Linked DNA regions of Neurospora crassa OR74A. Each later gene encodes a partner of the first gene's protein in a complex. Links are inferred from orthologs where the notes say so. Each region holds a gene or a part of one and is shown in the gene's direction. Other genes may lie near its edges. The genes, in order: NCU00979 and NCU00464.

Region 1 (3,275 bases):
CCTCGGCCTTTAATTCCTTGCGTTCCTTCAGCGTCAACTGCTTCTCCACCTTCTTGTGCTGAATCTTTCCAACGGATGACAGCATGGGCTGATTGGCCTGGGCCCTTGCCATGATCTCTGCATAGGAGCGTTTCTTCGGAGGTCCAGAGCCGGCGACAGGAGCGCTAGGGGCGGGTCGGCTGACGAGCGGTCGCGAAAGTGGAGCCTTATTCCCATTCGAGCTTGTTCCTCCCACCTTTGACTGCGTCGATGTGGTCTTGGTTGACACCGGAGCTGTTAGTTTCGTGGTCGAACGTGGTTGCGCGGTGCCGGTGTAGCCAGTTGTTTTTTCTGCGGGACGCGTTGGGTTCGCATTTCCTGTGGGGCGCTCCGTCGGTCGGTCGGCGGGGCGCGCTGTAGAAGGTTTCGATACGTTTCCATTCGGCCGGGCACTTCCATTTGTCGCTGGTTCGGTACGCGGGGCCTTTGGCGCAGAACCTCGAAGGTCATCGTCGGCCTTCCGTTTAGATGCTGTTGGGACATCTTTCGTCGAGATCGATGATGACGATGGCTTTTCGCCCGTTATCGATGCGAGCAAATCCGAAATCTGCACACGTGTCAGCCAGCCTTTTAAAGGGCAAGCGCACTAAACGAATGGCAACTTACCGGCATGGCTGTGGTTGTATCGGTGAATAACCTTCTTTTACCAGCTTTGCTTATCCTTCTCCTGCGTTCAAAAGACGGAGAGTTGTCCAGGCATCGAACAAGAGGAGAAGGAAGTAGGTGGCAGGGTTTTATATGCTTCCGTCACAGATCGCCTCAACTGACGATGCAGATGCACAGTGGGACAAGCGCGAATGCTTTGGCAAAAAACACGGCGAAAGAATGGGCGCGAGTATGCGAGGTCGCCAGTCGCCCGATAGTGCCGAAACCAAGAATAGGAATTAGGTTGGAGATGGGTTGTTGGCGAAAGAAGAACAAAGAATCCTGCGTGATCGGGGACTTGGTTTCGCAACTTTTGCTGGGCAGAGACAGAGACGGGAGCCAGGATGGTCAGCGTAGTGAACGACCCACCCAGTCACTTCTGGTCGGAGCGGTGAATCGCGGTCTCCGAGGTCAAAGTCACAGGCCCAGACGGTCCAGACCAGCAGCGTGCCAAGCCGCACGTCACCGAAAAGTTGTGTTTATTGCCAAGAGCGCCCAAGGCGTTATGAATTGGCCAGCTTTTTATGTAATTGCAAGCGGCCGGCAGGCAACGACGGAAGGGAGCTTGGCGGGAAAGAACGCACGGGATCTGCCCTAAGTCGAGTGGATTGGTCAGGTGATTTGAGGCTTGTGGGCTTTCGTGGGGCGCAAAATTGCGGGGCTTCACAGGAACGAAATTGTAAAAATAATCCGTGATCGGGTCCCGTCCGCGAACTTCTTTCCGAAACAGTGAACTTCCACCCCCAAGAACCTAAGAAGAGTCTTTCTCCGCCACAACTCAGCGGTTAAACCTGATTGACATCTCTGGTTCTCCAGCTCAGTAAGTTTTTGGTCCAGCCTTCCACAACCGTAGGATTTCCGTCTAACAACGCGACCTTCAAGACAGACAAAATGAAGCACTTGGCCGCTTACCTCCTCCTCACCCTCGGTGGCAACACCGCCCCCTCTGCCGCTGATGTCAAGGCCGTCCTTGAGTCCGTTGGCATTGAGGCCGACTCCGAGCGCCTTGACAAGCTCATTTCTGAGCTCGAGGGCAAGGACCTCAACGAGGTACGACTATTGTCCGGAGAGCAGACTTGAGTGTCCGGCGCACATGGCTAACACGAGATATTACAGTTGATCGCTGAGGGTTCCTCCAAGCTCGCTTCCGTCCCCTCCGGCGGTGCTGCTGCCCCCGCTGCCGGTGGTGCCGCTGCCGCCGCTGGTGGCGCTGCTGAGGAGAAGAAGGAGGAGAAGGTTGAGGGTAAGGACACATTCAATCGCTTGCGCTGTCGCATTCAGCTGCTAACTGCTGGGTACAGAGAAGGAGGAGTCCGACGAGGATATGGGCTTCGGTCTCTTCGACTAAGCGTCTCCTACCATTGTCCGGTAACATGGCATGGTATTTTCCGAGAAACCTTGACGGATTGTACACGCGGTTCAAAAGTCACCTGCATCACATTCGCCTTGACGGCGGCAGCAGAGCTGGAGTTCTTGGGATTACAAGGGCACGTCTTTCATAAGGGCGTCAAACGGCACATAGGCGGAACAATACAAGTCGCAAGGTTTTCTTCGGACCTTTTTGTCCCTTCGTGATCATACATGTGCGTGCTGCGCTGTTCTGGACATCTGCGCCTGCAGCTAAAATTGCTGAGAATATGTTGCTTGAACATGCATGTTTGTGAGCTCTTCTTCTTTTCCGTTCCTGTTATCGCACTGATATGGCGTCCCATCGACGGCGCCCTGCGAGAACGTTGGTAAACAAATCCCTTGATATTCACTTGACATGCAGCTCCATTGTCGTCTCCATTCATTTATCGATACGCACGGTTGCATGTGGTTCCTTCAAGTCGGGCTTCCCTGTTGTTTTTGTTGTTGTTGCTGTAAACAAAGCTTGGCAAGCTCATCACTGGAGTTTGCGTTTCCCAGAGAAAGGATCCATTTCAGCGGTTGCCGCGAGCAACCATGCAACATCACCCCGTGTTTTGATTGGTCGCAGCTCCACAAGTCAAAATACTCGCTCCTAGCGAAAGCCAACAGTCAGCACGCACCCAGGGCCCCAATACAGAGTGAAACCCCCCATCGTCTCCTCTAGCTTCCGTTCACGACATGCTTCATCCGCGCCGCACCATATGATTTCTCGCTACTCTCGTTATTCTTGGTTCCATGCGCTACTCTGGCACGTAGATTCGCAATCGCCCACGCAGCCCTGTGCTTATTAGGTATTATTTTCTTCAATTTTGGACTACATCTGAAAAGGCGGCAAACCAGGCGCAAAACAAGAGCAGGATCGTCCGTGGCTGCGAAAGACGGGCAAGGTTCCAAGCTCGCAAACAGGACGAAAAGTTAGGTCCACCCAACGCCGAGCCAGCGCATTTGCAACCGCAACCAAAACAACAGGGGCGGTAAACAAAACACATGAACGACATGTCGTCCATTTCGCCAACGCCCATGGGCGGTGGAAGCCACTTTACGTCTATGGGAAGAAGGACATCCGCTAGACAAGCTTTGCGACGTCCCCCATCGCGGCCCATGCTCAATCGCAGCGAGTCGAATCCCCAGTCGCAATCTCAACAGTATTCCAACCTCAACGACAGCTCGGACGACGAGAT
Region 2 (3,442 bases), on another chromosome or scaffold:
AGAGGCATCCACATCAATCACCCTCGTGGCAAGGTTCTCCGTCCCGGCGACGTCCTCAAAGTCCCCGGTGAGGGTATGCCCGTCAAGAAAAGTGATATGAAGGGCGACCTGTACCTCGTTGTGAAGATCGAGTTCCCTGAAGATGGTTGGTTGCAGGACGACAGCCAGTATGACGCTTTGGCGAAGCTCCTACCTCCTCCACCCAAGCCAATCGAGGCCGAGGAGATCGATGACGTTGAATACGAATCCGGTGCCGATATCCAAGAGGTATGATGATCTTTCAAATATATAAGGAGAGAAGCTGTGGCTAACATTTGAAACCTAGATGGGCGCTCACCAGGGTGACCCGCGCTACGGCAATGACTGGGAGGATGATGACGAAGACGAGGGTGCTGGTCCTCAGTGCGCTACCCAGTAAGGAAACACACACTCTGGAGGGAGTGCTATATACCTAGAGCATTGGCAAAGTCCTTGTCGCCATCGTCCCTCAACGAGCACAACGCGCCAAGTATCGAACTCGGCGTGGGTGGCTGGGAACGAGTGGGACAGTCCAGGACTTGACAGTCGCCCAGCTGCCACACCGAGAAACGCACGACCAGAGTGGCCGTTTTCTTCAAACCTTTTGCGGTCCATATAGCTTTGTTGCAGGGCGGCGGTCCAGTAGTATGCTTGGGAGCACGGCCTAGCCTGGTTGGATAAGCGAACTACAAGTTCCTATCCGGCAGGCCATTTGCTCACACCATCATAGGACGTGGCAGGTTTGGAGGTTTTTGGTCAACATGCAGCAATGGCCGTTTCTACATATCTTGAGCGACCATTAGTGAGGCAAGCATGCTTTTAGACGTCGAGCAGTATTGCCCATCAAGCAGGCAGAATCAGCCCTATCTTTTAGACTTGACACATAGACTTGTGTGTATACTCAATACCCGGCGATATGATAGCGAATGGATAAAGTTTGGTTGATAGTAAATCGGGGTGAATGTATTTGCGTGTTGTGTCAAACGTTCCCATTATGGTTGCTGAACTGTGAATGTATGATGCGTATCCCCCGAGTGGATCCATATAATCCAATGCCTTTGGTTTTACCTCTAGGAGGTTGAACTCTCATCAAGACAGAGTTCCCGGGTCACGAATGTCGAAGAATGACAGCAACGCAACACATTCCGTATTAATTCAGTAAAATGGTTTATGTATGCCATAAAGACTCCGGATCGAAAGTGCAGTCCATAGAGGTAGTTGGTAATAGGATTGTGGCCGGCAAGGTGCACTGTGTGCAAAGAAAGAGGCAGCTCGTGAGATGGTCTGGGACGGCTGGGCGCTATCTCCAGGTGCGGCTTGACTGCCAAGATTTACAACTGCCACCCAGATGGTGACCCACACCAGTAAAATTCTGGCGAATCACAACTGCGTACTAAGCCTCGCCTTAACAATTTCGCACAGCCCTAAGCCCACCAGCTACACTTTCTCGATTTTTTTCCCCAGGTCCCGCCGTGACGCTGCCCGCCGAAACAGTCCCCCATCACTCGATAACAGACAGTCAAGGTAGGCACCCTCGTTCAATCGTATTCTCAGTAACGAAGCAATTCTAACAGCATATTCAAGATGGTTGCCGCCAAGAAGCACGTCCCTATCGTCAAGAAGCGTACGTTTTTCCTCAATTCCGCGACTCCAGCCGACACGAAAAATGGAAATCCCCTTGCTAGCTCGAGCTCGAGGGCCGACAACTCCATCACCGCCGTTTCCCGACACCAATCGACGAAAGAGCGATGCGAATACCAGTGGAACTAGAATGTTGACGAAATATTGGTGAACAGGCTCTAAGGGCTTCATGCGCCACCAGAGTGATCGCTTTATGCGTGTGGACTCGGCATGGCGCAAGCCCAAGGGTATCGATAACCGCGTCCGCCGTCGCTTCAGGGGCACTCTTGCTATGCCCTCGGTACGTTTGGCCATAATCCGGTGGTGGAAGAAGACGGAGCGAATCTGGACGGGAGCCGCAGGATTGGATTGTCTCAAGCCCCTGGACAGAGACGCTCCGCGGGTGATCGTTGGGAAAACGATTGGGAAGTTCAAATCGGTCAAACGGCTAACCAAACGCGACTTGTTTCGCGCTTCTAGATCGGCTATGGCTCCAACAAGAAGACCCGCCACATGATGCCCTCCGGCCACAAGGCTTTCCTCGTCAGCAACGTCAAGGATGTCGAGCTCCTCCTCATGCACAACAAGACCTACGCTGCTGAGTACGTTACATCGATATCCATTCATTTCCTAGGGACATTAGTCGGATTCGGGATTGTGGAGTCGCTTTCGCGATATTCAATGGACAATGGAGGCAACGAGCAAGGGCGATGCAATGGACTGTCGCTAATATGCTTGACTATAGGATCGCCCACAACGTCTCTTCCCGCAAGCGCATCGAGATCATCGCTCGCGCTAAGCAGCTCTCCGTCAAGGTCACCAACGCCAAGGCGAAGGTTACCACCGAGGTCTAAATCTTCCTGTCTTCATCGTCATAAGGGGGCACTTTTTTCGTCATGTGTGATTCTGGGAGCATCTCAAGGCGGTCTCAACGGGAAATGGGTTCTGCTTTCTTTGGTCAGCGGGTTTTCTGCTAGCAACCAATCCAGGCTAGTGAAAATACAAACGCGGCTTGCTTGTCAAGGCACACACTACGAAGACCAAGCATCTACTACCACTGGACATACACATACAGACAACGGACGGGAACGGCGTTGTGATGAGGAAGGCCAAGACGTTGGCCTCTCATCGTATTGTTGTCTCTGAGATATGGGACAGCACTGCACGGACAGAAGATATGAAATGATACCAGACCAATTTGACGTCAGGCAGATTGCAAGGAGTTGTGTCATTGTGAATGGTATTATGTGAACTGATGTCCGAAAATAGGCTCGTTGCCCGCTTCTCAGAGCTGACTTGGCTTCATTAGCATGGTCAGTCGAAGCTGATGCCGGGGTTGATGGAAGATCAGTGAGAAGTCCCAGCGACCATATCCATCCTTCTTTCAAGACACTTGGCTCTCGCTTCCCAAATAAGGGATGCCCCAGATTCAATTCCAGTCACAAACTCAAAAGAACCCCAGGAGCAAGGCATAGCATTGACCAAATATCGCAACAGAAGACTTTCGGCATACTATAACTAGGTCATCCGAAGGCCGGTGCACAAAGGTCACACAACACACCCGTGATAATCTCTCGCCTTCCGTCACCAAAAGCGGTAGCGGTACCCTGAACGGAACTTCACGCTTAAAGTTAAGTACGCAAGTCTAGGCCCATCACAAGTGACATAAAAAGGTCCCAATTGAGGGTCGAGGTATCCCTGGAGTAGACAGGACGTCGAAGAAAATGACAAAGTTGGTTCTTTAGTGTCCTTGCTCCTTAGTCAGTAAATATAGAAACTCGTTATCTTATTGCCATGACGAGAC

What was found.
Region 2: NCU00979 (region 1) and NCU00464 share a complex: the UniProt entries of both Saccharomyces cerevisiae proteins name them as parts of the large ribosomal subunit. The link is inferred for Neurospora crassa OR74A from reciprocal best matches to the Saccharomyces cerevisiae genes RPP2B and RPL32.

The regions. Positions count from the first base shown.
Region 1 is NC_026501.1:6,512,193-6,515,467, forward strand, and holds NCU00979 (60S acidic ribosomal protein P2), read left to right. Parts: upstream 1-1,351; 5' UTR 1,352-1,504; intron 1,505-1,566; 5' UTR 1,567-1,575; coding exon 1,576-1,734; intron 1,735-1,800; coding exon 1,801-1,927; intron 1,928-1,985; coding exon 1,986-2,032; 3' UTR 2,033-2,455; downstream 2,456-3,275. Other genes in the region: NCU00980 (hypothetical protein), read right to left, coding at 1-586, 646-651; NCU00978 (checkpoint protein kinase), read left to right, coding at 3,082-3,275. UniProt on the Saccharomyces cerevisiae protein: Component of the ribosome, a large ribonucleoprotein complex responsible for the synthesis of proteins in the cell.
Region 2 is NC_026503.1:3,956,633-3,960,074, reverse strand, and holds NCU00464 (60S ribosomal protein L32), read left to right. Parts: upstream 1-1,490; 5' UTR 1,491-1,542; intron 1,543-1,602; coding exon 1,603-1,642; intron 1,643-1,814; coding exon 1,815-1,939; intron 1,940-2,118; coding exon 2,119-2,240; intron 2,241-2,383; coding exon 2,384-2,492; 3' UTR 2,493-2,848; downstream 2,849-3,442. Other genes in the region: NCU00465 (chaperone dnaJ), read left to right, coding at 1-267, 326-418. UniProt on the Saccharomyces cerevisiae protein: Component of the ribosome, a large ribonucleoprotein complex responsible for the synthesis of proteins in the cell.